3 linked regions of the Callithrix jacchus genome follow. The protein of the gene in region 3 binds, or shares a complex with, the protein of the main gene of each other region. Links are inferred from orthologs where the notes say so. Each region holds a gene or a part of one and is shown on either strand. Other genes may lie near its edges.

What was found. The genes of interacting proteins can lie anywhere in the genome.
Region 1: the proteins of TNNI3 (region 3) and TNNT2 are in contact, whole or in part, in a crystal structure (PDB 4Y99), measured with the Homo sapiens proteins. The link is inferred for Callithrix jacchus from reciprocal best matches to the Homo sapiens genes TNNI3 and TNNT2. Residues at the interface, in NP_000354.4 of Homo sapiens: Arg68, Glu71, Lys72, Ala75, Leu76, Arg79, Gln81, Pro82, Leu83, Leu85, Leu88, Gly89, Phe90, Leu93, Gln94, Leu96, Arg98, Leu100, His101, Arg103, Val104, Asp105, Val107, Asp108, Glu109, Glu110, Arg111, Tyr112, Asp113, Ile114; in NP_001263274.1 of Homo sapiens: Glu214, Lys217, Lys218, Ile221, Leu222, Arg225, Arg226, Lys227, Leu229, Ile231, Asp232, Leu234, Asn235, Glu236, Leu239, Arg240, Ala243, Lys244, Leu246, Trp247, Ile250, Tyr251, Leu253, Glu254, Ala255, Glu256, Lys257, Phe258, Asp259, Leu260.
Region 2: the proteins of TNNI3 (region 3) and TNNC1 are in contact, whole or in part, in a crystal structure (PDB 4Y99), measured with the Homo sapiens proteins. The link is inferred for Callithrix jacchus from reciprocal best matches to the Homo sapiens genes TNNI3 and TNNC1. Residues at the interface, in NP_000354.4 of Homo sapiens: Glu32, Pro33, His34, Ala35, Lys36, Lys37, Lys38, Ser39, Lys40, Ile41, Ser42, Ala43, Ser44, Arg45, Lys46, Leu47, Gln48, Leu49, Lys50, Thr51, Leu52, Leu53, Leu54, Ile56, Ala57, Lys58, Glu60, Leu61, Glu64, Arg136; in NP_003271.1 of Homo sapiens: Asp3, Ile4, Lys6, Ala7, Glu10, Gln11, Thr13, Glu15, Gln16, Glu19, Phe20, Ala22, Ala23, Ile26, Phe27, Val44, Met45, Leu48, Gln50, Glu59, Met60, Glu63, Glu66, Asp67, Gly68, Asp73, Asp75, Glu76, Phe77, Met81.

Annotation. Positions count from the first base shown.
Region 1 is NC_133520.1:28,384,942-28,394,894, forward strand, and holds the start of TNNT2 (troponin T, cardiac muscle), read right to left. Parts: upstream 6,126-9,953; 5' UTR 6,068-6,125; intron 1,406-6,067; 5' UTR 1,393-1,405; coding exon 1,352-1,392; intron 167-1,351; coding exon 156-166; intron 54-155; coding exon 39-53; intron 1-38. UniProt on the Homo sapiens protein: Troponin T is the tropomyosin-binding subunit of troponin, the thin filament regulatory complex which confers calcium-sensitivity to striated muscle actomyosin ATPase activity.
Region 2 is NC_133516.1:34,978,696-34,988,720, reverse strand, and holds TNNC1 (troponin C, slow skeletal and cardiac muscles), read left to right. Parts: upstream 1-3,900; 5' UTR 3,901-3,926; coding exon 3,927-3,950; intron 3,951-5,469; coding exon 5,470-5,500; intron 5,501-5,746; coding exon 5,747-5,893; intron 5,894-6,134; coding exon 6,135-6,249; intron 6,250-6,465; coding exon 6,466-6,602; intron 6,603-6,684; coding exon 6,685-6,716; 3' UTR 6,717-6,891; downstream 6,892-10,025. Other genes in the region: NISCH (nischarin), read right to left, coding at 1-19, 2,243-2,335. UniProt on the Homo sapiens protein: Troponin is the central regulatory protein of striated muscle contraction. Tn consists of three components: Tn-I which is the inhibitor of actomyosin ATPase, Tn-T which contains the binding site for tropomyosin and Tn-C.
Region 3 is NC_133523.1:48,016,838-48,026,507, forward strand, and holds TNNI3 (troponin I, cardiac muscle), read right to left. Parts: upstream 6,016-9,670; 5' UTR 5,873-6,015; coding exon 5,862-5,872; intron 5,587-5,861; coding exon 5,574-5,586; intron 5,414-5,573; coding exon 5,330-5,413; intron 4,928-5,329; coding exon 4,886-4,927; intron 4,628-4,885; coding exon 4,496-4,627; intron 4,155-4,495; coding exon 4,065-4,154; intron 2,864-4,064; coding exon 2,687-2,863; intron 962-2,686; coding exon 878-961; 3' UTR 811-877; downstream 1-810. UniProt on the Homo sapiens protein: Troponin I is the inhibitory subunit of troponin, the thin filament regulatory complex which confers calcium-sensitivity to striated muscle actomyosin ATPase activity.

The DNA.
Region 1 (9,953 bases), on a different chromosome or scaffold from region 3:
TGCCCCTTTCTGGCTCTCCACCTGCCTAAGGTACGTACCTTCAACAGCTGCTTCTGCTCAGAAGAGAAGTCCAGGCAGCAAGAGAAGAGAGAAGAGGTGGATCAGTTTCTAACTAGGCGTCTGTGATCCGAATGAGTACACACGTTTACGCTTACCTTCCTGCTCCCTGAGAGCAACAGGAAACACTGTCAGTAGCTCGCGCACGCACACACACACACACACACACACACACACACGGGCCTGCACACATATGCACACACGCATGCATACACACATGCACACACAGACCTGCACACATATGCACACATGCGTGCACACACACACATGCACACACAGGCTTGCACATGCTGGCCTTTCCCTTAAGATAATCCCCACTCTTTTTCCCTTGTTGCCTAGTGGGGTCCATGCTATCCTGCCCACCCTGCAATGACACCCACTAGCCCAGCCTGCCCTTCCCATACAGGGCTGCCTCCTACCATCCTCGGCAAGTCTCCACCCCAGCCGGCTTGGCCTCACCAGCATTCTGCTCACTTACTGTTTCCATCCTTGTCCAGGCTGTACCCCTTTCTAGGAAGTCCTGCCCTCTCCCAAATATCTCCTCTCTCCAAATTCTACACAGGTAGGACCTGCCTTCTCCACAGCCCCCTGACTATTCAGCCCCTGATCTCCCTCTCCTTAGAGACCCTGCACTACCAACAGCCCACCCTCCACACCGGGCCCCACTGGCTAATTTCTTCCCCCAGTTTATGGCTTAACATCTCAATGGCAGAGTAAGTTCTGTGAGGTCAGGAGCTGTGCCTAGACCTCTGACTCCTCCCTGGTGACCACCATTCTCTGTAGTTATTGGATTGGCAGTGTTCCACACCCTGGTTTCCCTCTGGGTTAGGACTGTGGGCAGGTCACTGCCAGGGGAGAGCAGGGATCCGAGACAAAGTGATAACACAGGGTTCTGACCTGGGTTTTGGGGGCACAATCAGCTCTGTAACCTCCGGAGAGTCATTGAACCTTTCTCAGTCAGTTTCCGGAGACCCAACATCTCAGCTTCTCTGTTCATGGCCTGTCCCCCAGTCAGGACAGGCCAAGGACCCTGATGACCCCAGAGCTGAACCTCTGTGTTTCCCAAAGTCCCCCAGCCTATGCTCTGCCTGGGATCTACAACCTTTATCACGGAGATAGTCTCCATATCCTGGCTACTCAGACGGAAAGGAAATGGCTATATCTCTCCCCTGGGTACCCAAAATGCACACAGCTACTTCCATCCAGAATCCCAGGGCAGCTGGGCGGCTCCCGGACCAGGTGTGAGGGTGGTGGGAGGGGGACCCCACTCAGCCAGGATGCTCCAGATACTCACTCCTCCTCGTACTCTTCCACCACCTCTTCCGTGTCAGACATGGTCTCTGCTCTCCTTCCAGAAAGAGAACACAGTCAGTGCGGGTGCAAAGGGAAGCCTGTCTTCCTCAGAAGACCTCTGTCCCCTGTCATACAGAGATCAGAGAGGCCGAGGGTGAATCTATTTCCACCTCTTATTAGCTGTGTGACCTGCAGCAAAAAAAGCCTATTTCCTCCCTGCCAAGTGGAGATAGTGACACCCACATGGCAGCAAGGCCACCTGCTGATGTCCACTTCATTCCTTGCCCCTGAACAGGCAATACTGCCTGGGATGCTGTTTCCCATTTGTAACACTCAAGACAATGTCTGCAGTTTCTCAACCTTTCCTTCCACACTGCCCACCCCCACTCCACAGGATCTGTTTAGCTCTGACCTGGGAGAGTGGTCAAACCAACTGTAGCATCTGTACCGTGGAATACAACTCAGCGATAACAAGGAATAAACTGTGTATGCATACAACAACTGGCATGCACCCCCAGGGAATTCATCTCCAGGGAATTCCACTGATTGAGGAGAAAAAGCCAACTCAGAAAGTCACATACTGTAGAATTCCATTAGTATAACATTCTTGGAATGGCAACACGGAGAACAGATTCGTGGTTGCCAAGGGTTCTGAGGCAGCTGGGAGGGGCACGAATGTGGCCGTGAAAACACACGTGGACCGGGTGTGGTGGCTCACACCTGTCATCTCAGCACTTGAAGGGACTGAGGCAAGAGGATCCCTTGAGCCCAGGAGTTTGAAATAGCCTGGGCAATGCGGCAAAATCCCGGCTCTACCACAAAAACAAAAATTAGCTGGGCGTGGTGGCGCATGAGTATAGTCCCAGCAACTCAGGAGGTGGAGGTGGGAGAATCTCTTGAGCCCAGAAGGTTAAGGCTGCAGTGAGCCATGGTCCACTGCACTCCAGCTTGGTCAGAAGAGTGAGACCCTGTCTCAAAAAATAAAAAGAAAGAAAGGGCACAGGAGGGATCCTTGTGGTTGGGGATCTTTTCAGCATGTCCACTGTGGCGACGGACACATGAACCCACATAGGTTAAAGTTGTATAGAGTTTCACACACACACACAGGTGCGCACACACACACAGTGCAGTGCAATTGTGGGCAAATCTGAATAAAATCATAGATCAGTTGTATTGATGTCCAATCTCAGTTTTAATATTGTACTAGTTTTGCAAACGTTGCCCTTGAGAGAAACTAGGTAAAGTGTGTAAACACTCGCTGTTAAAGACAACTGTGTATTAGTCTTTAATTATCTCAATGAAAATTCCGATTAAAAAAATGTTCCCCGGGGAACTCATCCTGAGATCATCTTCTCACTGCACCGGGAACAGATAATCTGGATTCAGATCCTCTTCCATTAGCTTGCTAAGGGTGTTTAGGCAAGTCTTTTTAACATCTCCAGACCTCAGTCCTTCCTCTGTCTCATGGAGATAAAGTGTCCACATCCTGGCTACTCAGGGTCTTTGTGAGGCTCCAGTTGACATTAACAAAAGGGGAAGGCATTAGGCAATGTCAGGTGTTGCAGTGCGCGTGTAATCACAGGGAGGGGGCAGAGAGCAAGCACTTGAGTGTGAGACTAATCTCGCTTTGAATGCTGGCTCTAGCATGCGTTTGCCTGCGACCTTGGCAAGGTCGCTTAGCCTCCCTACATCTCAGCTCCCGTTGCTGTGAAATTGCTGTTCTTCTTGGGCAGGTGTGAGGAACAGAGCTGGTGTGCAGTGTAGGCATTCAGCTAATAAGTGCTGTGACCCAGCCCTCCTGGGCCATGACAGTGCCCTGCTCCAGGGACCCAGTCACATTGTTGGAAACGTGAACAGCAACCCTGTTGCGGTGCAATAAGCCAGCCCCACGACCTCCCTGATGTCGGCTTTCAAGGGAGAGAATGGACAGTGCAATGTGAGAATGAGGCCAAAGTGAGGGGGGAGAAGAATCACAGTGATGCTCAGGACCACCCTCCAATGCTCCTCCTCTGCTGCCCGCCCCCTGCCCCACTCACATCTGCCAATGCTGCAGCACCAGTTTCAGACCCAAGGGGCAGGATGAGGACAGAGGCACACAGAGAGTCCTGCTCACTCCCTCACCATCTCTCCCTGCACATCTCCCCATAGTGGCTGAGAACAACCCCAGGCACTCATCTGTGGACATCCAGCAAGAGCCAGGGCTCTGGTTAGGTGGGATGATGTCTGCCGCAAGGCAGCCCCTTTGAGGCTGAGTGGTTCCAAGGGAGCTGCCACTCCCCAGCTGCCCCTCTGGGTAGAGACTTCTCCAGACTCAGCACCCACTGCAGCCCTGGACTAACTGTCTTCAGACCCTGCTCCCATTATGTCCAGTCCTGCTAGGTTAGGGACAAGCAGGGCAGCACCGGAGCGGTCCCTCCACTGTTCCCTCTGCTGGAGCAGGATGACGACAGTGAGGGAGGAGCCCTGTTTACAAGGAGCTCTGGACAGTAGCTCTGAGCCACTGTTTTGCCCCAACATCCAGGGTGGGGTGGGTGGGGGAAAAGAAGAGAAATCAAATGTTCGAGGTGTTATAATGGGGAATCAAGCCTCATTCTGCTGAAAAAAAGACTCAAACCCCAGAGAGTCTCCAAATGAGTCTTAGGATGGGTGTGGCCAAAGAATAGCCTTCCTAACCCCAGGATGGGTGTGGGTGACAAGTGTTGCCCAAAGCCCCAGGGGAGCTGCCAGAACTGGTGACTTGAGAACTTGAGGTGCTGCTACCTGAGCCCCAGGAGGAGCCTGTCCCTCAGTGGGAGGGAGAAAATTCTCGGAGGAACCTCATAGCTCCCAGCTTTCTCTCCTCTCCTCCCCTGGCCTTCCTCCAGTTCAGAGCCACTGGGCATGGTGCTGGGGCTCAGAGGAGGACAGAGTAGCTTGACTCCTCTCCCTGTTCCTGGGAGCACCATTCAGCTCCCAAAAATAGCACGCAGACATGGAGGATGGAGGAGGGCTTGCAGCCAGCCCAGAGGACACCACCAAGCCAGTGGCTCAAAGGCAGGACCTGATGCAGGGGAAAGAGGTGGCTGAGACTGGGGGCTGCAGAATGGGAGAGGGTCCAGGACCTGATGCAGGGGAAAGAGGTGGCGGAGACTGGGGGCTGCAGAATGGGAGAGGGTCCAGGACCTGATGCAGGGGGAAGAGGTGGCGGAGACTGGGGGCTGCAGAATGGGAGAGGGTCAAGAACCTGGCAGGGCAAGGGAACAGAATGTCCTGAGACACCTGTGTCCTCGCACCCAAGCCCCACCCACTTCCACAGGCAGCTTTCCAGCCTAACACGTTCACAGCCAAGAGTCACCTTTCTCGGGGAGTAAAGCAAAGACAATAGAAGGCATAAAGCACACCGACCTTCTGGTCAAAACGATCTGGGTTTAAAACTTAGATTTTGCTGTATGGACTTATTTCAGTCACTTAGCGTCTCTGACTTCAGTTACCCAACTGTAAAACAGATGAGGCTTCAGTTCTGGTCTTGTAGAAAGAGTCTCTGAGTTTCTGAGGAACACGGGCCCCGCCCCTCAATCCCTGTCCCCAGCATTCAGCTGGGATTTTCCTAAGCCAACAGTTGTTAGGCCACCAGGAAAGTGAAGGTAAGAGGATGGGGAGAGGGCAGGGGGAGTGGAAGCGGGGGCAGAAAGTAGGGGCAGCAGGCAACCTGATCCTCTCAGATTGCCCTTTTGCAGAGAGACAGAGTATTTGCCCTGTAAGACACGGGTCAGAGGAGGAATTTGGGAGGGCAGGTCGCTTCCCGGCTACGGCAGGCCAGGAATGTGCTCTGAAATTCCTTACATGCCCGGCAACCCCCTCCCCAGATAGTCCCCAGCCTGCCCGGAAGAAACTAAAAACCAAGGGAGTCTGTCTCTACCACTCCTGGGCATAGAGCAAGGCCTGTCCCAAGAGGCGGTGTTGGGGTGCAATGAGACAAGGGTTACACTTAGGGACCCAAGTTAAACCCTTTAATGCTAACCAGCTGGGCTCATGCCCCAGTAAAGGTTCTCCCAGCAGGGCCTTTGCCCATCTGCCCCCCAAGTGCAGCTCAGTTCCAGGTCCTGTCTGGGAGCAAGTGGCACTGAGTCAGGCACATCCAGTGGAATTCCTGCGTCAGCCTGGAGAGGCGCTGCAGCGGGCCCTACACACCGTCTTTCCTAGTGGGACAGCTTCTGAGTCCCTGGCCTTGAGAATATGACCAGGGGACTCACCTGACTGACAGGGCTGCAGTCTCACTCTGCTCTCTGGGGCTCAGAAGAACCTGCCTGGAAGGTATAGGTGCCCCTCGGCCTGGAACAAGCAATCTGGGGGAGTCCCTTTTGGTTAGAGCCCCATTGTATTTAGAGCAAGCAGAAGCCTAGCAAATACTTAGCCCACTCTACAGATGAGAAAACTGAGGAATGGGGAGGGAAAGTAACTCATCCAGGAGTCCACAACGCTACATCTTCAGCGGCAGGCCCTCTGACACTGGTCTCCAACGGCTACCATGAGATTCTCTCTCTCCCTCTGCTCTACTGCACTAATCTTGAGCCCAGTCCTGGCAAGCCCTCCTCTGAAGTGTGGCCTCCACCAGGAGGGGCCATGGATGTCTGCGGACAAAGGCGGACTCTGGGTAAGAATGCCAGGGCACAAGACCCTCACATCACCCCATCCTTTCTCTGCTCGCCCCTTCCCCAGAGCCATGCCCAAGCCTTACCTCAGCACAGCAGCTGCCGACAGATCCTGGAGGTGTCTGCTCAGCCTCAGCAGGGACTGGGTGAGGCAGGGGATGGAGAGGGCTTTAAGCAAGCATGTGGGCTGGGGCCCGGTGAGCCAGCCCTGCGGAGGGAGGAATGCGCGACGGGGGACGGGTGGGGCAGGGGGATGGCAGTGGGGGTGGGGGGGTGTTGGCTGCTATTTTGGCAGGTGCCAGGGACAAGGCTACAGGAACATGTACCCCACGCCATATAAGCCCATGTGGTCCTCCAGCTGCTCAGATAAGCTATTTAAAACCAGAGCAGATACGCAGAGAGCAGGCATGCAACATAAACCAGCTGTCCTCCTGAGAATCCTGATAAAGCAGAAGCCGACAACCCACACCAGGGAGGGCCGGCCGGGAGCAAGGCTGGGGACAGAGGTAACCTCCAAGACACTCCATAAGTCTCAGCACCAGGGTCTTGGAAGGCAGAGGACAAGAGCTGTGTGCTGCTCCACTTGAACGGATGCTGGGGGTAAAGACGTCTTCTGGGCTACTGGCTCCTAATGGGCGGAGCAGCCTTGGGCAGGTTGCCGGCTCTACCAGCCTCAGTGAGGACATCTGCAAGGTGGGTCTTCTCCGTGACCCCCAAAGCCACGTGGCACACCCTCCTCACAGGCAATGGGCTTAAACTGCTACAGGAGGTCAGACACAAGGTAGAACTTCCAGTCAAGAACCTTGAATAGCCGGCTCATTGTGTGAGCATGATGGTGAGGACTGCCAAAGGTCATCCCCCAAAGGCTTTAAATCAACCAGTGCAGGACCATGATCTGCCAACCATACTAGACTGCAGACGCAGAGGTCAGGGCCAGGGGTATGCGCGCTTGCCTGCGTCTGACCATGCACGTGCACATGTATGTCCAGGGCTGGCCCATTGCGGGTTCGGTAGATGATGAAAAAGAGAGAGGAGGAAAGCAAGCCAGTGGGCAGCTGAGCTGACACTCCCTCCATCTCTCTAAAGCTTCACAGCCTAGGTCCTGCCTGGCTCTGGACCAGGCCCTCCCCTCCCCCATGACTCCCCTGGCACTTCCAGATCTTGCCATTCATGACCCACACTCCTCTGTTTCTCCATGGACAAAGAAAGCAATTCTGCCATTCTCTGCCATCTTCTCCCTTCACACAACCATGTGTCCTGCCTTCCCAGTCCTCAAAGTCTTTGCTGTCCCTCTACCTCAGGAGCTACTATGCTGCCTCCACCTCTAATGTCCTTGAAAAGGTCCTCTGCACAGGGCACTTCCATTTGCTCCACACCCATGCTGCTATCAGACCCTTGTCCCGTCACTCAGCTGACTCCATCCCTTCCATGGCTCCCTGTGGCCTCTGAGTCCATTGGCCTTGAATGGCCAGCTCCAGGCTTATCCCCTGCCACGTGGGCCTCCACGCTGCCAGCAGACCCATGGCAGGGCAAGCTGAAGCCAACCACCTGCTGGCCAGCATTGTGAGACTGAGGAGGCCCACAGGGAAGCAGGGAGACTTTGTAGAAAGAGAGGCAGATGAAGGGACAGATTCCCAAGGGATGGTGAGGAAGGAGCCGGACTATCCACAGGAAAGTGAGGGGAGCCCCCTCATTCCTCCGCCTCATCCTAGCCCATGAGCAGGGCCAGCCTTGCCTTGGGTCCTAGCCTGGAATAACAGAATTTATCAGCACTTTTCCCAAACCCTTTTTTAACTTGAAGGTGGGTTACTGCTCCTCATAAGTCAAATAACCCTTCCAACAGGCCACAGTTTATTTGCATGAATGCCTACAAGAGGGCTCTGTGCACCTAGATCACTACAGAGCCCCATGGGAAAAGCCCAGCGGATCCTTGGTGTCATGGCCCACACGCGTACAGCTTCTAATTGCTCTACAGCAGGAGCTCCATTCAGAGCGCTGAGACAGCCACTCAGATGAGGAAACCCAGCCCCCAGGCAGCAACCACTCCTGGGCATAGCAGGGTTACTTCCAGCCCATTTGTTTGATGTCCCTGTCCTTGCAAAGGGATGTAAAGAGAAAATAGAGCCAGAGTGGAATGGGAAGAAGCTTATACTGAAATGATGCGTGTAAATTTGAGGCTCCACAACAGGACGGGGCCACTTGTGGGGTCACAGGGCCCCTATGGCCAGTGAGCAGGAGGGTGGGGCCAGGAATGGTGAGTGGAAACACTGTTCTGTCTCCAGAGGGTGCCCAATGTCACCCCTCGAGGCCTCCGCCCCACCCAGACACCCAGTTGCTACCACTCATCTACCCCCAGCTGAGGTCATCTTGGGCACACCCTGGTCTCCTTGTTAACTGGCTGTGTCCCCAGCAGGAATGAGGGCAGGGCCCTCACTTCTCGGATTCACAGGGGAGGGGAAGAGGCAGTGCTGTGGTGCCCCAGGGCGTTTCCCCTAGCAGCCCGCCCTCACTGGGCACCGAGGGCGGGGTGCAGGTGTGAAGGCCCTGCCGAGGCTGCAGCTGCAGGAACAGGCCTCTCAGTGTCCTTGCAGGCTCTTACTCCAGGGTTAGGCCCCACTGCCAGGAAAGGCTTCCAGGAGACTCTCTTGACTGTGTGTGGGGACAGTTTTGCTTACTGGGAAAGTTCACCTGTCAGGAGGACTTTACAAAGTTTAGGGCTGCCAGGCGCAGTGGCTCAGGCCTGTAATCCCAGCACTTTGGGAGGCCGAGGTAGGCGGATCACAAGGTTAGGAGTTCGATACCATCCTGGCCAACATGGTGAAACCCTATCTCTACTAAAAATACAAAAATTATCAGGGTGTGGTCACATGTGCCTGTAATCCCAGCTACTCAGGAGGCTGAGGCAGGAGAATCCCTTGAACCTGGTAGGCGGAGGTTGCAGTGAGCTGAGACCACGCCACTGCACTCCAACCTGGGCAACAGAGTGAGATTCTGTCTCAGAAAAAAAGTTCAGGGAATGAGCATGTGAAAGTCCTCTGAGGTCATCTGCTTGAGGCTGGGAGAAGGGAATGGCTCAGGGTCCCACCTGAGGTCTGGGCAGAGCCAGAGATCTTTAGACGTCCCGAGGCCCCAGGCAGGACTCACCTGCTCCTCAGCTCTGCCCCAACCTTGTCCTTCAACTCTCGGCTGTGAAGTTAGAACATTCACAAAGCTCCAGCCCCAGCAGTGGGTGGGGGCACTCGGGGCAGGGCCCCCAGGTCCCAGTATCCCTCACTCAGGCACAGAAGACTCACTGGCCGGAGGTGGGCCAGCCTGGGGCACTGGGACCTCTGCATATGGGGCTTTGAGGGCCTGTCCCCTGGGACACAGATCGGAGGAGCCCTCACCCATTGTCACAGAGTGGGGGTAGAGCTCACCTCCCACACACCTGGGGAACTGGACTAGTGATACCCTGAGGAGCCGTGTTAAGGGTCGTGCTCTGAGAAGCTTCCCCAGGCATGCAAAAGGGAGGACTGGGCAAGGGGCTCTGCACCTGGCTGCACCCCCGGCTGCTTCTGAGCAAAACTAAAGTGGTCAGTCAAGACGGGGAGTTCTAATGATGAAAACTTTTGAGAAGTTTTAAACTATAGCCTTAAGGGGTTAACACGGCACCATGCTGATGTTCCTAGCTTGGTTGGTTCTATATTCTGATGGTTCATCATTCTCCAAGCTCACAGGGGCCATGATGTTAGGAGCATGGGGAGGGGGGCTGGAAGGAGTCTGTGCGGAAAGGGGGTAGGCCTGGCCCTGTATGTGGCAGTTCCGCAGTCACCAAGCTAGGATTGTGGAGCAACAAGCCACCACCTTAATGTGAGAAGAGTGGGGACTAGGAAAATGACGATCCTCCACCCCAGCCCAAATAATCCTCACACACTTCAGATGATCTCCGCTAGAAAGCAAGGCCTCTAGAAAGAAAATCACTTTTAAGGTCTC
Region 2 (10,025 bases), on a different chromosome or scaffold from region 3:
TGACCTGGATGATGTAAACCTAAAAGAGGAAACCGACAGTCCTTGTGACAAGGGAGCCTGCAACAAGGAGTCTCCTCCCCCTCCTCCTGCAGCAAAAGCTGCAATTATCTTTCCCAATTATCTTTTATCAGTCTTGCTCTCTGCAACTCAGACCCAAAGTCAGGCTGCCCTGGCCCACCAGCCTCTGCACCTGACCCTTGCTGAGCAGCAGGTCCCCTCTGAGCCTCCAGGGCCCAGGTATTAGGGCTGGGAGGCACTCGGGACAAGACTGTGGCTCCATCCATCAGTAAGGAATGAAAAATGTGATTACTGCTGGCTGGGCATGGTGGCGCACACTTGTAATCCCAGCTACTCAGGAGGCTGAGGCAGGAGAATTGCCTGAACCTGGGAGGCGGAGGTTGCAGTGAGTGAAGATTGTGCCACTGCACTCCAGCTTGGGCGAAAGTGAGACTTTTTCTCAAAAAAAAAAAAAAAAAAGAAAAGAAAAAGGTGATCACCACAAGTCACCTCTTTAGTTTTTTACCTCCTGCCTTCTAGGTAACTCAGAAGCCAGCCTGAGCTGCAGGCAAGACCATTTCATCCAAGGGAGGCAGAGCAGGGCCAGTTCTAGCCTCATCTTCTCTGTTGTACTTCTTTCCAGGTGCCTTGACTACCTCCTGGAAGCAAGTCCTTTTCCAACCCTTTCAACTGGTTCATGGCTGTGATTTCTGCTACTGAGCCAGGAATCAAGGCACAAGCAGTTGACGTCGGGAGGGAGTGGTGGCAACCAAGCTCTAACAGAAGGCAAAATGGCCTAGAGGTTAAGGCAGGCCTGGGTTCAAAAGCTGGTTCTGCCATTTCCTGCAGCTTATGTGTCACTTATGTAAGTAACTTGAAGCCTAAGTTCTCTGTGAGCCTCAATTCCTCCATCTTAGAATCAAGGATCAAGCGAGGAAATGCATGTAAAATGCTTTGTACATGGGCCTGACCCATGGCAATTATTCAAAAGGTAGGTGTGTTAATAATACCCAACTCGGCACACCCGGAGACAGAGGCTGGTAGGGTCCAACCTAGATCACCACCTCCCCGACATACATGCAGAGGAGGGGCGCAGCCCAGAATAAGGAGAGCTTTTTGAAGATGGCCCTCTGGCTGAATGTGCCCATAGGTGGTGGCCAGCCAGCCATCAGCTCAGAGACCTCACCCGTCTCCGTTCCCTCGCCTCTCTGCCGCATGGAGCTGAAGCCTCCTTCAGCCCTGAGGAGCAGCCATTTCTCCAGGCTGGCCTGTTGCTCCAGGATCCACCCCTCTCCTCTTCCCATCCGGCCCGATTCCCTCCCCGTGCCCTCAGGAAAGAAGATAGCCAGTAGAATGGCCCTCAGATGGGGAGGTTAGGATGAGGGCTAGGGATGCAGGGAGGGCCAAGGCCCCGACCCACTCCCTACCCAGCAGGAACAAAGGGCAGGAGGCAGGGAAGTGCTCAATGCGTAGCCCAGGGCCATTTTTTGCCAGGCAGCCCACCAGGCTCATAGGCCTGGCATCCAACCCCATCAGAGAAGGGGACTACCCCCCATTTGTCCTCTGTGCCCCCCATAGCCTAGAAGTGTGTGGGGGCAGCTTGTTGCCCCTTCTCGCTCCCACAGCCCAAAGTCACGAAGATTCCTAAGGTTTCGGGGGTCTGCGCTTCAGCACTGGGACCATCCCCATTTCTCCATAGCCGGGCTCCACCCCTCCTCCGTTCCGGTCTCCGCCAGACCCGCAAGGCGTTAGGTCCCCAGGTCGCTCCGGCACTTCTCAGAGAAAATCTCAACCACGACCTCAGGCTCTCCAGACCAGGGTCTGGGCTCCTCCTCTCTTCAAGGCCTGCGGAGCCTGCCCCTTTTCCCTGATTCCATCCGTAAGAGACCCTCTCCCCATCGTTCTCCTCCAGGACGCCAGTAACGGTCTTCCAGGCCTGGTCCCCTCCAGTCCTAGAGGGGTTCCGTCTCATCTAGACACTCCCCTTCTCCAGGCTCCTTTTATCCCCAGATGCCGCCCCCAACCCGAGCCTCCCTTTCGGATCGCGTACCGCTTTCCAAACCGCCTCCCCGGGCCCCAACAACTCTTCTCCCGGACCTGCGGGGCCCAGCCTCCTCCTCGCAATCGCAGACCCCTCTTCCCCCTCCTCCAAGCTGCGGATGCCGGACCCCTCACCAAGCCCCCCAAGTCGGACTCCCAGTTTCAGCCATCACTCCCGCTTCGAGTGCCCGCGCCCCCAACACACCGTGTAAGTGTCCACGAGCTCGGAGCCCACGACGCGCGCTTCCTTGGCCGGCTCGGCTTCCCGCTCGGGCCCGAAGCTGCGCGCCGCCGCCATGTTCCGGGTTCCACCGCCGCCGCCGCCCGGCGCAGACAGGCCGCAGCAGGGGGCGGGGTCAACGTCCCACCGCCCCCCAGCCCCCGTTGCCCCACGCCCCCACCGCGCGCTGTGCCACCATCTTAGTCCGGCCGCCTTCCAGAGCCTTCTCCCCGCCCCTCGTGCGTGATTGACAGGCACCGCCCACGGCGCGCGTGCGCAGCGCTTTCTTGCGTAATCTCTACCTGCGTGGGGCCACCAACGGTACCCTGCGCAGCCTGCTAGAAACTGACCTCTCGGGTGGTGACCGCTCTGGGAATCGCCCCTTAGTCTCTCAGGAAGAGAGGACAGAAGGTCCCGAGCCTCCAGGCAACACGAAGCAAGTCACTGCTCCTCCTGGCCTCAGTTTACTCCTCCGGATAAAGGAGGCCATAATGGCGCCTCACTTGGCTGTTGGGCTCTTTCTCTTTAGGGCAAGACGGGCTGGAGGTGGAAATAGAACCTGTGCTTATCGCTGGAGTAGGGCGAGAGTGATTCTGGGCCGGTTCTGAACCTCTCCGAGACTCGGAGAGCTCTTGTCAGTGGGGCTTCTTGACAACGGAGTGGGTTGATTCATGCGGGGCCTGGCATGCAGTAGTGCTGGAAGCAAGGAACGTGTTTATCAAGACGGGGCTCTGTACGAAGGAGGGCGGAGACGGAGGTGGGAGGGGTGTGTGCTGCCAATGGGTACAGGAACCTCACGGGATGGCCTGTCAGAGTTCAAAACAGGAGGGAGACACGTTGACCTGGACCCACGAACTACAGTGCTAGAATAGGGAACTGAGTCCTAAACCAGGGGAAGATGAGACCTAGAAGAGGGAGGTGGTAACCTGACTGGAGGGTGAGGAGGGAGAGAGCCTGGCACAGATGGGGCATCTGTGGGGGTGCTGTTGAATTACAGAACAGCTGACTGAAGCCCGAAGGGGGCACTTCTCCCTGGGCAGATGGAAGGTCTGGGGCAGGCGCCTCTGGCAGAAGGGCTCCTGACTACCCTGCCCTAAGGTGGGTTAGCATCGTCCTCTGAGCTTGGGATTTGAGGCTTATCTTGGCAGGGCCCTGTACTCCCAACCCCCACTTGCACGTTGCACCCCATTCCAGAGAGGCTGAGTTAAAGGCAGGGGCTATCTTGGGCAAGCCACCACTCTTCCAGAGCCTCAGCTTCCTTATCTGGAAGGTAGGGGTCATAGCACCGGCCTCCCTGGTTGGTGGGAGCCTGGGCTGCTGTGTTGCAGGGGCCTTGCCTGGGGCCCACTACTTTGTGGCTCCTGTCCTGCCCTGGGCTCATGCTTTCATTCATTCCAGAAACCTTTTCAGAGTCCCTTGGGGAGTGTGGGGGACAGGAGCGAAAGAAACCTGGTTCTTGTAGCACTTCATCTGCTCCCTGCCTTGGGCAGAGGACGCAGGGACTCAGGCCAGCCTGACATCACTGGGCCCAGAGGAGGGGCTGGAGGATACTACACGCAGGGGTGGGCTGGGCTGGGCTGGCTGGGAATGCAGTGTGGGGGGGGGGGCAGGGCTATTTAAGTCGAGGGCCGGCTGGCAACCCCAGCAGGCTGTCGTGTGACCCACCAGCATGGATGACATCTACAAGGCTGCGGTGAGGGACAGGGCTGGGTAGGGCTGGGTTGGGCAGGCCCACTGGGGGCTCACTCATCTCAGAATGGGGGGCTGGTAGCCCCAAGGAAGCGGTGGGGGCCCAGGAGAGAGTCTCTGTACCTTCAACCCAGGCCCTCACAGGGACAGTGGTTCTGATGTTTGAAGATGCAGAAGGGGTAGGGGCTCAGGGTCTGAAGGGAAGCTGGTGTTTGGAGATGCAGAAGGGGTGGGAGTTGAGGTCTGAAGGGTGGTGGAGGAGGTCGCCACTTTCAGCATCATGTCTCACTCTGTTTCTAAGTGTCTGTAGTCTGTGGCACTGTCTCTCAGCCACATGTCTCTGCATTTGTCTCTGGACATTTTTGCCTTTCTTTTTTCATCTCTCTTCCTCCTAAGTTGTCTCTCTGAGTCCCTATTACTGTCTCCCTGTCCCCAACCTCCATTTCTGCCCCTCACATTCTGCTTCTCACACACTCACAATCTGCCACTCCACTCCAGCCCTTTGGTTGGTCGAAGATGCTTTGGAGGGTGGAGGGTGTGAGGGGAGGGGCCTGAGTCCTGGGCTGGAGATGGGGCTTTGAAGTTCGAGGCAGGGAAGTTTTGGACATGAGGGAGAACCAAGGAAGAAGGGACAGAGAACTGAGGCCCCAGCCCCCATCGTGCCTGGCAGGCTCAGGGCTCAGTGGCTTAGCTGGGGGTGAGAATGAGGGAATGAGGGCTAGAGAGTGGTCACCCCAAGCCCCTGCAGCCTCCTGGGTCACTGAGGGACTTGAGATGCTGTTCCATTCCTGGATGCTGGTGACCTCCCACTACCCCAGAACAAGGACATCCTGGCCTGGGTAGCTGTCCCCAGGGGAACCCCTCCCTCAGCCTCCCTCACTTCTGGGCAGGGAAGGGCTACAGCCAGCTCTGGGGGCATGCCTGCTTATCCTGTGGGAGTCCATGAAGCTGGGGTGGGGGCAGCCCTCCACCCAGTGCCCATACAAGGCCTGGCGGAGCTGGGGACTAATTTTGGCTCCTGAGGCGGCACTAGTAGGACAGGGGGCCAGATAACACTGCCCCACCCCCTGCATGCCAAAGTCCCCAGAACAATCACCAGGTTTAACTTTGTTCCTCGTTAAAAATAGCCCAGTGGCCACCCTGGTCAGGTTACAGTGGGTAGCTTGTCTACCCCCACATTGGTTTATTGTCCCAACTTGAGGGACAGCTGTTCCTTGGGCCACCCAGCTTGAGTTTCATCACGGGCCAAAAGGGTATTGAGTGGTCACTGACTATTGTTACTGAGGGTCACCTTGGCCCTGAAGGGGGTGCCCACCTGTCACACTGGCCCTGAGCCCAGTCTTAGTGAGGCTAGCTGGGGCACATCAGGGCTTTGTGGGGAGGGAGGGAGGACTGAGACCTCTGTTCTGTGGCCTGGAAATAGCTTGCTTTCCCCAGCTGCAGCTCTCACCTGTGGAATGGGTTGGTTTCAGCAGCAGCAGCTATGTGTGAGGCTGAGCCCTGAGAGTCCCTTTCCTTTCTAGGTAGAGCAGCTGACAGAAGAGCAGAAAAATGGTGAGAACCCCTATCACACGTGCGGGAGACCACCAGGGCCAGGTTGGGAGACCAGGCTGGGGAACGTGGGGACCCCTTACCAGAAGAGGAGCACAGACCAGAGACCAAAGGCTAGGTCCCTCTGCTCTGATCTCAGAGAGGTCTCTGAGGGAGGTGGGCAGGTTGGCAGGTGGCCCCAGGAGTCTGGCCCTCTGAGGTCCTGGCTGTTGAGCCCTGGCTATTGTGCCCCCCAACCTCTGTACACAGAATTCAAGGCAGCCTTCGACATCTTCGTGCTGGGCGCTGAGGATGGCTGCATCAGCACCAAGGAGCTGGGCAAGGTGATGAGGATGCTGGGCCAGAACCCCACCCCTGAGGAGCTGCAGGAGATGATCGACGAGGTGGACGAGGATGGTGAGCCCCTCCTCCCCAGGCTCTAGAGGAAGCCCAGCCAGCGTGGGGCTGGGATGCTGGCTCTGCTTAGCCGGAAGTGGTTTAGCCCCTCCGATCCTCAGTTGCTTCATCTAGAAAATGGGCATAATGGCCACAGAAGCCTGGCATTTGCATCCTCACACCAAATGCCAGGCTTCTGTGGCCACTCTTTGGGCTTGAGTCACCTGCAGTTTCCAACCTGGCCTCTGTAACTGCCTCCCAGGCAGTGGCACAGTGGACTTTGATGAGTTCCTGGTCATGATGGTTCGGTGCATGAAGGACGACAGCAAAGGGAAATCTGAGGAGGAGCTGTCTGACCTCTTCCGCATGTTTGACAAGTGAGCACGTGACCCTTGACCCCTGACCTTGACCCTCACTCAAGCCCAGCTGGGGTTAGGAGGGCAGTCTCAGATTCTAGGCCTAGGGACCCTGCAGCCTCTGCTTGATGGGGGAGAGGGATGCCCCATCTCCCAGCGTCCCTGTTCTTCCTAGGGGGCATGGTTGTGGTCCCTCTTGCCCTCCCTGCAGCCCTACCCTGGGCCCCCTCCCCACAGAAACACTGATGGCTACATTGACCTGGAGGAGCTGAAGATGATGCTGCAGGCGACAGGTGAGACCATCACGGAGGACGACATCGAGGAGCTCATGAAGGATGGAGACAAGAACAACGACGGCCGCATCGACTACGACGGTAAGCGGGTGGGTGGGCTGATCCCCTGCCACTGTGCCCTGCCAGCCCCACCCCTGACCCACACCTGCCCCTCTTTCCACAGAGTTCCTGGAGTTCATGAAGGGTGTGGAGTAGATGCCGACCTTCACCCAGAGCTGCCCATGCCCAGCCTTCAACTCCAGCCGAGTCCTGGGGCTGGGGAGCGGGTTGGGGTCCCAGGACCTGAGTCTGGTCATGTCCTCAACTCCAGATCCCTCGACTCCCTCCCCAGCCCCGTCCTGGGGGATGCAAATAAAGCCTGCTCCCTGGAGGCCTGCTGTCTGGCTCTGGTGTCCCCAGGCCATGGACTGCTCCCCAGGGCCCACTCTTACCCACTTCCTTCCCTGTCCCAGGCGTGGTGACTGCAGAGCCTGATACTGGACTGTGGCTCCACACTGCCTTCTGTGGCGGGTGACATGAGATTGGAGACTCCCATCTGGCATGCCCTCTATAACTCCTCATGCCCAGGCCCTATCTCCTGGGAGTCAGCATCTGGAGTCTGGGGGTGTCTAGAACCTACATTTTAACAAGTTCCTGGGGGTCATCACTTTGGTCAACCACGTGGCAGCCTAGGGGTCCTCTCCTTGGAGAGAGTGTTCACTGTGATACACAGCTAGGCCCTGGATGCTCCGTGGCACAGCAACCCTCTGCGGTCTTTCAGCCATGGCTGGAGTGGAGCTGAGCCTGTGGGGTCCCTGCAGGCCCACAGTGCCAGTTCACCTGCCATCTGACTTGTATTTCCTGCCAGCAGCATTGACTCCCAGGGACAGAGGGGCATGGACTCGGCTCTGCCTCCCCTCACCTGTTTGACAGGTGGCCCAGAGAGGTGCAGGGAGCTGTCAAGGTCATCCACTGAGTGTGGGAGAGAGCAGAGCCACCTGGCTTCCAGCCAAGGGCCCTGTTGGATGGGCCACGTCCAAATGGGCCTGATTTCCAGTTCCTGTGAAGCTCAGAGTCTTGCTTCCTGTGGCCCAGTCTCTCTCCCTGACAGGGACGGAGGCCCAAGGGCCTGGCAGCTCTCAGCTTAGTGGGAGCGCCCAGTCCAGAGCTGCAGCCATGCAGTGATGCTGCCTCAGGGTTGTGGGCATTGGGGGCTGCAAGGAAGTGGAGGTGTCAGCGGCAGCGCTCGCAGGAGGGACAGCTGCTAGCAGTGCGCAGGGTGCAGCCAGAATGCTGCCAGCTGTCCTTGCCCCACCCAGCCACTCCACTGTCTCTGCACCTGTGCCCCAGCTTTGGCATTCCCCAGACAGGCCTGGCATTCCAGAGATGGTCTTGGAATTCTAAAGATGCCTCTAGTGGAGGCCAGAGCTAGCAAGAGCTTTCTGGACCCTGGAGAGACCTGAGGGGAGAGGAGAAGGGTCCCTTCAGGCCTGCCCTTGTGAGCTGGAGAACTGGGGACCTCTGCAGGCACCCAGAGTGACCCAAGAAGGACGGCATCCCAGGAGAGAAGGCAGGGCCACATTGAGCAGCACCATCAGCCAGTGCGCCACTCAGTGGTTCATTCATGTACCTACCATGTGCCCAGCACAGGGCTGGGTGCTGGGGCCTGTCACAGTGAGGCCCAGTCCCTAATCTGATGAAATTTTCTTTCTTTTTCTGACATATGAGACAGAATCTCACTCTATCACCCAGACTGCAGTGCAGTGGCATGATCTCAGCTCACTGCAACCTCTGTCTCCTGGGCTCAGGTGATTCTTATGTCTCAGTCACCTGAGTAGCTGGGATTACAGGCCCCCGGCACCATAGCCGGCTAATTTTTTATTTTTAGTAGAGACAAGGTTTCACCATGTTTCTCAAGCTGGTCTTAAACTCCTGAGCTCAAGTGGTTCGCCTGCCTTGGCCTCCCAAAGTGCTGGGATTACAGGTGTGAGCCACCTCACCTGGCCTTATTAAGATGGGGTTTCACCATGTTGGCCAGGATGGTCTCGATCTCCCAACCTCATGATCCACCCACCTCGGCCTCCCAAAGTGCTGGGATTACAGGCATGAGCCACTGTGCCTGGCCAATCGGTGGAGTTTTAAGGAGATGAGTACAGTGGGAAAACCAGCACGGGCTAGAGTGGAGACTGGAGGCATGGTGGGCCCATGAGTTAGAGTGGTCTGGGAAAGCTCCCTAGAGGAGCTGACACTGTGAGATCCAGGGGAACCACAGGGAACCAGCCATGGGGAAAGACTGGGAAGGTCTCAGGAGCAGAAAGGCAGTGTTGGGCTGGAAGCAGAGCCCCACCAGTCTTGGGAGACATGGGCAGTGCCAGGCCTCTTGAGGACCCAGTTTATGTGAGGGGTGAGGGCTGCAGAGGACAGAAGGGGTGGGAGAGAGGGAGCCAGGAGCTGGCCTGAAACGGGGGCAGGCTCTGGGCAAGAAAGCCCAGTGGCTCCCAATACAGTGGGGTGCTGGAGGTTCTTTTTTTTTTTTTTTGGTCTGTGTCAAAGTTGAGATGCCCCAGAGACAGGCTGATGGTAAGGTCAAAGCCAGGCGGGAGCTAAGGGAAAGGACAGAGTGAGCCCTGTGAACGTAGATGCCATCAGAGTAGGAAGCCTTTTCCTGGCCCTGGTCACAAACAAGGGCCCTGGGTTGAGAGTTTGTGGATGGGTGGCATTCTGCGTGGGCAGCCCAGGAGAGGGCCCTGGGAGCCAGGAAGGAAGGAAGAGGCATGGGTGACAGCTGATGTCCCCAGGGTTTGGGAACTTGCAGACCCTGAGGCATTGGCCGCCTGAGCGGAGGGATGGGAGCCAGACAGGGATGGGAGGGATGGGAGCCAGACAGGAGTGAGCTGAGATACAGGGGTAATGGCGGGTGTGGGCAACAGAGAAAGGGGCCGGAGCTGAGATTGTGATGTGGGGTCCAGGGAAGCTTGTTTAAGAAGGGTTAAGGAAAAAGAAATCCGCCGGGTGTGGTGGCTCACGCCTGTAATCCCAGTACTTTGGGAGCCGAGTAGGGCAGATCACCTGAGGTCAGAAGTTCAATGCCAGCCTGAACAACCCCATCTCTATTAAAAAAAAAGAAGGGATAAGGGAGTGGCTTGTATGCTGGTGGAATCAGCCCAGTGAAACGGGAACAGGGCCGTGTGAGATGCAGGGCAGCTCTGCAGCAGGCCGGTGGCTCCTGGACCCCTGGACAGTGTCTGCAGGGGCCTGGCTCTAGAGCTGGTCGCAGGCACAAGCTGGGCCAAGACAAAGAGGGGGCTCAAGGCACGGAAGGGCAGGCAGACAGTCCTCAGTGAGTGAAAGATGTGGCAGTGGCAGTGCTGAGCTGCTGATAGTGATGTTCAGAGGTAGGGATTTTCCATGTAGACAGGCAAAGGGTCACACCCTTAATGGTGGTGACCTGGAGGGTGGGTAGCTGAGGTGGGGGGAGGGGACAATGACTGACCATGAGGAGGACAGTGACCCAGGAGACTGGGG
Region 3 (9,670 bases):
GAGGCAGGAGAATGGCTTGAATTCAGGAGGCAGAGGTTGCAGTGTTCCGAGACTGTGCCACTGCACTCCAGGCTGGGTGACAGAGCAAGACTCCGTCTCAAAAAAAAAAAAAAAAACATGTTTGCTTGTCACACATATATGTGTCCACCCATCCATGAATATTCATAGCTCCTTCTAAAACCAGTTGAATACATGTACTTAGCCAACCCTACTCAGCATAAATTCCCACCTTGCCCTTTCCTCGCTTAAAGCACCTGCTTTTTGTTTTTGGCACGAGGCCATGATTCTAGCCTGCAGGTTGTGATCCGCTTCTTAAGAAGCAAAGCTCTTGCCGAGTGCGGTGGCTCATGCCTGTAATCCCAGCACTTTGGGAGGCCAAAACAGGTGGATCACAAGGTTAGGGGGTCAAGACCAGCCTGACTAAGATGGTAAAACCTCGTCTCTACTGAACACACATAAAAATTAGCTGGGAACAGTGCGGGCACCTGTAGTTCCAGTTACTCGGGAGGCTGAGGCAGGAGAATTGCTTGAACCTAGGAGGTAGAGGTTGCAGTGAGCCAAGATTGTGCCATTGCACACTCCAGCCTGGGCAACAGAGTGAGGCTCCATCTCAAAAAAAAAAAAAAAAAAGCCCAAAGCTCTCTTTTCCAAATTCATGATCCCTGGGATTCTCTTCCATAACAGAGCCAAGAGTGCTCCATGTGGGAGACTCATCCAATCCCCGACCTGCTGTGTAGCTTTGGGGGAGCCCTGCCCTCAGTTTTCCCATCCCTTTCATGCCTAAGCCCTGGGTAATAAACATGAAATAACTTTCAGCTCTGGGAGAAGCTTTATTCCTCAGGGCCCTCCTCAGGGCCGCGGCAGTAGGCAGGAGGGCTCAGCCCTCAAACTTTTTCTTGCGGCCTTCCATTCCACTCAGTGCATCAATGTTTTTGCGCCAGTCTCCCACCTCCCGGATTTCCTGGAGGATGGTGATAAGAGTCAGAGGTTAGGGTCTCTTCCTGGTCTGCAGTCTCTCAAGAATCCCCACCTTCCCTCCAGCCTGTAGGGCCATTCTACGCTGGATGTCTGTCCAAGTATCTAGTTCCAGAACACTTCCTGTCCCCTCAAGACAATCCCTGCCAATTTCCCCATGCACTTCCTATCTCCCTCATGTACTTCCTGTCTTTCCCCCTCCACTTCCTGTCTCCCTCATGCACTTCCTGTCTTTCCCAACCCAGTTCCTGTCTTTCCCCCTCCACTTCCTGTCTCCTCCCTGTACTTCCGTTCTGTCTCATGCACTTTCTGTCTCCCTTGTACACTTCCTGCTTTCCTGCACACTCCTTCCCTTATACTCTTCTGTCTTCCCCCTCTACTTCCTGTGTCCCTCATGCATTTCTTTTTCCCCTCCCCTTCCTGTCTCCTTGCACTTCCTATCTTCCCCTCCATTTCCTGTCTGCCTCATGCACTTCCTGTCTCCCTCCCTCCTTCCTTCCTTCTCTTCTTTTTTTTATTTTTTATTTTTTAAGACAAGAGTCTCCCTCTGTCACTAGGCTGGAGTGCAGTGATGCAATCTCAGCTCACTGCAACCTCCACATCCCAGGTTCAATCGATTCTCCTGTCTCAGCCTTCCAAGAAGCTGAGACTACTAGCACGCCACCACGCCAGCTAAATTTTATAATTTTAGTAGAGATGGGGTTTCACCACGTTGGCCAGGCTGGTCTTGATCTCTTGACCTCAGGTGATCTGCCCACCTCAGCCTCCCAAAGTGCTGGGATTACAGATGTGAGCCACCGTGCCCACCCCTCTTTTCTTCTTTTTAAAGATAGGGTCTCACTGTGTTGCCCAGGCTGGAGTGCAGTTGTGCAATCATAGCTCACTGCAGCTTCAATCTCATGGGCTCAAGTGATCCTCCTGCCTCAGCCTCCTGAGAAGCTACACACCACCACCATGACTGGCTAATTTTTTTTCTTTGAGATGGAGTCTTGTACTGTTGCCTCGGCTGGAGTGCAATGGCATGATCTCGGCTCACTGCTACCTCTGCCTCCTGGGTTCAAACGATTCTCCTGCCTTGGCCTCCTAAGTAGCTGAGATTACAGGTGCCTGCCACGATGCCCAGCTAATTTTTTGTATTTTTAGTAGAGACAGGGTTTCACTATGTTGGCCAGCCTGGTCTCGAACTCCTGACCTTATAATCTTCCCCTCTCAGCCTCCCAAAGTGCTGGGATTACAGGCATGAGCCACTGCATCTGGCCAACTGGCTAATTTTTAAAAAAATTTTGTAGAAATTAAAAAAACATTGTGGTGGTGTGCACCTGTAGTCCCAGCTACTCAGGAGGCTGAGGCACAAGAATCACTTGAACCCAGGAGATGGATGTTGCAGTGAGCTGAGATGGCATCACTGCACACCAGCCTGCACAGCAGAATGAGACTCCGTCTCAGAAAACAAAAGGAAACTAAAAAAAAATTGTTTTAACCTCGAGGATGACAGGCACGAGCCACCGCACCTGGCCCTTCACACACCTCTTTACTCTTACATGGACTTCCTGTAGCCCTAATGCACTTCCTGTCTTCCCCTTCTACTTCCTGTCTTCCTCTTGCATTTCTGAGGACCCCTAGTTGTGTGCCCTCAGGCCAGGCCCTAGGGTTTTGGCACGCAGCGCCCCTCCCCTCAGCATCCTCTCTCATGGCCTTAGCCTACACTCACCTTCTCGGTGTCCTCCTTCTTCACCTGCTTGAGGTGGGCACGCAGGTCCAGGGACTCCTTAGCCCGGGTCCCCAGCAGCGCCTGCATCATGGCATCCGCAGAGATTCTCACTCTCCGCAGGGTGGGCCGCTTAAACTTGCCGCGAAGGTCAAAGATCTTCTGGGTCAGATCTGCGATCTAGGGGCAGCCATACAGACAGGTGGAGACATCTCCCTCCATTTCCCCCTCACCCAGCTCTTCCATCCTACGCTCCATTTTTATTCTCCTTATCCTGTCTTCCAGTACCAAAGCTTCATCCAGTATCTTCCTAGCCTAAGCTCCCAGTCTAACCTTTTTTTTTTTTTTTTTTTTTTTTTTTGAGACAGAGTTTCACTCTTGTTGCCCAGGCTGGAGTGTAATGGCGCGATCTCAGCTCACTGCAACCTCCGTCCCCCAGATTCAAGCGATTCTCCTGTCTCAGCCTCTGGAGTAGCTGGGATTACAGGCATGAACCACCAAGCCTGGCTAATTTTGTGTTTTTAGTAGAGATGGGGTTTCTCCGTGTTGGTCACGCTGGTCTTGAACTCTCAACCTCAGGTGATCCACCCGCCTTGGCCTCCCAAAGTGCTGGGATTACAGGTGTGAGCCACCGTGCCTGGCCTTTTTTGTTTGTTTGTTTGTTTGTTTGTTTTGGAGATGGAGTTTTGCTGTTGCCCAGGCTGGAGTGCAAATGGCTCGACTTTGGCTCACAGCAACCTCTGCCTCCTGGGTTCAAGCAATTATCCTGCCTCGGCCTCCCTAATAGCTGGGATTATAGGTATGTACCACGAAGCCCGGCTAAATTTTTTATTTTTAGTAGAGACAGGGTTTCTCCATGTTGGTCAGGCTGGTCTTGAACTCCCGACCTCAGTTGATCTGCCCTCCTCGGCCTCCCGAAGTGCCGGGATTCAGGTGTGAGCCACCGCGCCCGGCTCATCCTCTCCCAGTCTAAGCTTCTAATCCTGGAACTGAATCACCCTCCCAATGTACTCCAGACTCACCTCTCAAAACCAGTGGCACAACCTGGTCCAGCTAAGTGCAAATCACAATTCCCTGGCCAATCACATTTCCAGGACCGCAATTCCCTGAGCTAATTTACCAACATGTGATGCCCTGAACATGTCCACTAACACATTTTCTGTTTCCCAACCCGTGGCCTCAAATGTGCTGTTCCCTCTGCCTGGAGCAGCTTTCCTTGACTATATCACACTCATCCTTCTGCCCCAGCCCTGCCAGGCTCACGGTTGTCCTGGGTCTCCTGGGATGTGCAGCCAAAAGCAGCTACAAGGGGTCAGGCTGAGACCAAGTCCCAGGCATCTCACCCTGCCCTGAAGGTACCCAAGCTGCCCATGCGTCCCACCTCGGTGATGTTCTTGGTAACTTTTGCCTCTATGTCATATCTCTCTTCATCCACCTTGTCCACACGGGTGTGGAGCTGTCGGCACAAGTCCTGGAGGAGAAATGTGGCGTGTGCTGTTGGGGGAAGCCTGGGGGCCTGGAGACCTGGATTCCTGGGTCTGAGGGAGGAGGGGCTGGGGGCCTGGGCTCCTATCTGGGAAAGGAGGGCCAGACGGTCCTGAAGGAGCAGATTGGAGCCAGGACTCCACAGACCTGCAAACAAAGGGTGTTAGGGGCCAGGAGTCCCACGAACCATACAGAATTGGGTAAGGACAGTCATACTGGACCCCTGGGTCCCGAGCAGAAGGGGGAATAGGGACTGTACTGCTGAATTCCGGGGACTAGAAACCTCGGATCCCAGGCTGGGCGAGTCCCTGCCTTGGGAGCGGGTACCTGCAGCTCCGCGAAGCCCAGACCGGCCAACTCCAGCGGCTGGCAGCGGGTGCTCAGGGCGCGCCCCTTCTCTCCGCGCCGCTCCTCCGCCTCTCGCTCCAGTTCCTGCTTTGCAATCTGCAGCATCAGGGTCTGCGGAGAGGTGTGAGGGAAGCGCAGCCCAGCCAGGGCATCAGAATAAAGACCAGGCCTGGGGAAGCCGCCTGTGCTCTTCCAGCCACTGGAGTTCGGTCTCTACCTTTCTGAAGACCCGTCTGCCCGGAGCGGGACTCCCCGCTAAAGCCACGGCCCGAACGTCCAAACCCCGCCCACTTGCCCGAAGCCAAACCCACTACCAAGCTCCGCCCCCTGGGCAGCTCCAAGCTCCTTTCCTCTCCCGCCTGTCCTCACCTTCAGCTGCAGTTTTCTCGAGGCGGAGATCTTAGACTTTTTCTGCCAGGGTGAGATGGAGCAAGGAAGGATCATGGAGGGGGATCCGGAGACGAAAGTGGAGGGGGCCTCACGACACCCCCAGCAACCCCAGCCGGTCCAGATTTGGGCCCGCCTCCAACTTAAGCCCTGAGTCTACGGGAGGCCACGCCCCTCATTCCCATCCACCAATCCGGGTCTCTGCCTTTGGCTAGGCACTGCCCATCTATCCCTAAGCAAGTCTAAGGGCAACAGAGCTCCGCCCGCAGACGGCTCTCACCAATCCGAGCTCGACCCTCTGCAAAACTCCGCCCCTGAAGCGCCTCTACGTAGGCCCCACCCCCTTCGCTGCCCTGGCTCCTCCCCGCGCCCCCAGGGTCTCGGGTCTCTACGACTGTACTCGGCCCCCTGGAAACCCCGTCCCACCTTGGCGTGCGGCTCCGTGGCGTACGCGCGGTAGTTGGAGGAGCGGCGTCTGACCGGGGCTGGTGCGGGGCGAGGTTCCCCAGCCTGGGGTGGGAGGAGTGCGGGCCCCATCACCACCAAGACCCTACCCAGCCCTCACCACACCACACCCTCTCCTAGGGCGGCAGCCTCCCCCCAGACCCCTTACTGCAGTGCCCGCCCCGGCCCTGGGGGTCCCAGCCACGCCTTAGCCCGCTGCTCTCACCGCATCACTGCTCCTGCAAGGAGAGAAACCGGGGAGGGGGTTAGTGGTGGGCTGTGTCCTGTCTGTCTCCTAAGGGACCCGGGAGACCCCTCTGACCGAGAGGTTGGGGGACACCGCTTCCCCTTCCTCGGGTTCCAGGAGTCTGACTCGCGAACCCACTTCCTCTTTTCACCCAAGAGTCCCAACCCTATCTCCCGTTGCAAGCCAGGGGTCCAGCCTCTCAGCTCGGACCCCTCTTGGGACCCCGGGAGGTCGCCCCAACTCTCATTGCCTTGGGAAGTCACTCACTCATCCGCCATGCTGAGACTCAGACCCGGAATGGCAGGAGGCAGGGCGAGGACAGGGACTTTCGGAGGGTCAGTGAGGGGGCGGCCCGGGTGACCTTCAAGGTCCCAGGGACCGTGAGTCTCCTCCGGGCTGCTCCAGCCTCCCCGAGGACACTGAGATAAAGGGCGGACAACAGAGACTAAATATACTGCGTCCTCCTCCCCCCTGCCCACCATGCGAGATAATGGGGCGCGTGAGGGGCGGGGCGGGCCCTGCTCCAGCTGGATCACCAGCTACCTCGGGGCACAGGAATCCAGAACCTTCTCCCTCGGATCCTGGAGTCCTAGACCTCTCCTCCCTCAGACCCAGAGAATGCCCTTCCTCCCAGCCACCCCCTCCCTCAGACCCAGGACTCCGGGGGACCCCAGCCCCTCCCTCAGACAAGGAGTCTGGGCCCCCAGCCCCCTCTTCCCTCAGACTCAAGAGTCTGGGCCCCCAGCGCCTCCTCCCTCAGACCTGGGAGTTCAGGCTCCCAGTCCCTCCTCCCTCAAACCCAGGAGTGGAGGCCAGCAGCCTCTCCTCCCTAAGACCCAGAAGTCCAGGCCCCCAAACCCTCCTCCCTCAGACCCTGGAGTCCAGACCCCAACCCTTCCTCCCTCAGACCCAGGAGTCCAGACCCCAACCCCTCCTCCCTCAGACCCAGGAGTCCAGGACCCCAACCCCTCCTCCCTCAGACCCAGGAGTCCAGGACCCCAACCCCTCTTCCCTCAGACCCAAGAGTCCAGGCCACTCAACAATGTTGTGTTTAATTTGGAGTGCAGCTGTGCTGGGGGCCCACTCTCAGCCTGCAGCACTGAGAAATCCATCTCTTGTCCACTCAGAAACCCAGGCACCTGGTTTCTGACTTCCTCTGTCCACCACTCCTAGGCCTTTCTCCCCCAGCCCTGGAGACAGACATAGGACAGCAAAGACAGTTGGACACACGGAGGGGTGGACACACTTGCTTTACTCAAACCACCTGGGTGCTGACCAGGCCCTGGTGAGGAGAGACCCTAGACCCCAGGCAGCCACAGGGTACCTGGGGACAAGGGGGCAGAAGTCAAGGGCCTGAGACTCAGGGTCAAATCCTGGGCTGGGCTTAGAGTCTCTGAAGCAGAATTTGGAATTCTGAGAGAACAATCTAGAATTCTAGGAATAGACCATAGAATCCCAGAAATGGAATTTGAAAATCTAGCAACACCCCTGGGGTGGGGGTGACGGGTACTGAGTGGGAATGATGAGAATAAACGTGAGGGCTCCAGCGGCAGGTTTAAAATGGTATCAGCGGCTTCTAATTCTACAACCTGACTTTGGAAGCTGGAGATAAGGGGCGTCTAGGGGTCAGGTCAGACTCCAGTTTTGGAGTCTGACTCACTGTCGGACGGGGGCAAAGCCCCTGGGGGCAGAGCCAGAACCTTGGAGAGAACCTGGAGATGCAGAGGGCAGCTGGCAGGGCTCAGAGTGGGGTCCCGCCCTGCAGAGGTTCGGTCAGGTCCTCGGGGGCGGGGCTGCGGGCCTCAAGAGGCTGGGCCAGGACTTCAAGGGGCAGAGTTCTGGGTTCCACAGCTGGGTCAGTGCCACCCAGAGCCAATTCCGGGGACTTGCAAAAACGGGCGAAGGTCTCTGAGGGCCTGACCCCGGCCTGTGGAGAGAATCCAGCTGCCTGAGCCAGCTCCCTGACCCGGGTGTTGAAGCCCTGCAGCTGCTCCCGCCGCACGTCCACCAGGTACCTGCAGATGGGAAGCGCCATGTCAGGGACCCAGATTCGGACCCCCAGCCAGGACAGGCCCCGCCCTCCACCCCACTGGCTCACCGGGCTAATTCCACAATCAGGTTCCCTCCCGGTGCCACACAGGCCCCAAGCTCAGGGCTGAGAAGATGGACCATCCTGCAGAGAGGACAGAGGACAGGCTGAGATTCAGCTCCAAATCCACGGGGAGAACGGTGCTCTGGGAACCCAGACACTGAGGGAGGAGGGGCTGCAAAACTGGAGTCCAGGTCCTGGGGAAGAAGGGGGCAGGAGGTCTGGACTCTGGGGTACCAGGAAGGAGGGGCTGGGGCTGGACTCCTGGGTCTGAGGGAGGAGGAGATGGGGGTATGAGGGAGGAGGGGCTGGGGCTGGACTCCTGGGTCTGAGGGAGGAGGAGATGAGGGTATGAGGGGAGAGGGGCTGGGGCCTGGACTCCTGGGTCTGAGGGAGGAGGGAATGGGGCTTGGGCTGCCTCCCCACTTACCCACAGGCCACATAGAGAAGCTGGAACCGGCCATTGTAGCAGCTCTTGTGGTGGAGAGTCTGAGCAGAATCGAGGGGTAGGAAGTGGATGGTGAAAGATTCCGGGGTGGGGGCTGCTGGGGAAGGTGATAAAGGGGTCACCTCTTGTAGGTGCTGCCATGAGGGTGGAAAGCCAGAGACATACATAGAGCTGGGCAGAGCTGGGCAGGCACTCAGGGCTTGGAGATAACATTCCTTGTCCCCTTGAAGCTTTTAAAAAAATCTTTCCTCTGAGGTGGATTTCTGGAAAATTCTGGGAAGGTCAGCCCAGCAGGCAGAGACCCACTGTATAGATCAGGCAACTGAGACTCTAGAGAGGGAAAGAGAGTGGGTGGCCAGGGCCACATGTGACATATCCTGCCCGACAGACACTCAGGGAGGGCCAGGTGGGAGGATGGCTGGAAGGAGGCCCAGCCAGGGTCTGGGGTCCGGGATGGTGTCCAGGCAGGAGCTGGGGCCCAGAACCCGGGGAGAATACTCTTGGATAGCATAGACCCCTGCAGATAAGACTAGAATTCTACTACTGGAATTAAGAATCCTAAGCACGCTCTCAGGATTTAGGAGAGAGAGAAAAACAGACAGAATGTCAAGAAGAAGCCGACATTGGCCCCCGCATTCCACATCATGTCAGTCCACGCTCCAATGTGAAATGCGTGGAGGGTGCAGTCCCTGGCTTACCTGTTGTCCTGGCTTACCTGCAGTCCCTGGCCTACCTGCAATCCCTGGCCTACCTGGAGTCCCTGGGTTACCTGGAGTCCCTGGCCTACCTGGAGTCCCTGGGTTACCTGGAGTCCCTGGCCTACCTGGAGTCCCTGGCCTACCTGGAGTCCCTGGACTACCTGCACTCCCTGGCTTACCTGCAGTCACTGGCCTACCTGGAGTCCCTGGGTTACCTGGAGTCCCTGGCCTACCTGCAGTCACTGGCCTACCTGGAGTCCCTGGGTTACCTGGAGTCCCTGGCCTACCTGCAGTCACTGGCCTACCTGGAGTCCCTGGGTTACCTGGAGTCCCTGGCCTACCTGGAGTCCCTGGGTTACCTGGAGTCCCTGGCCTACCTGCAGTCCCTGGCTTACCTGCAGTCCCTGGACTACCTGCAGTCCCTGGCTTACCTGCAGTCCCTGGCCTACCTGGAGTCCCTGGGTTACCTGGAGTCCCTGGCCTACCTGGAGTCCCTGGGTTACCTGGAGTCCCTGGGTTACCTGGAGTCCCTGGCCTACCTGGAGTCCCTGGGTTACCTGGAGTCCCTGGGTTACCTGGAGTCCCTGGCCTACCTGGAGTCCCTGGACTACCTGCAGTCCCTGGCTTACCTGCAGTCACTGGCCTACCTGGAGTCCCTGGGTTACCTGGAGTCCCTGGCCTACCTGGAGTCCCTGGGTTACCTGGAGTCCCTGGGTTACGTGCAGTCCCTGGCTTACCTGCAGTCCCTGGCCTACCTGCAGTCACTGGCCTACCTGGAGTCCCTGGGTTACCTGGAGTCCCTGGCCTACCTGGAGTCCCTGGGTTACCTGGAGTCCCTGGG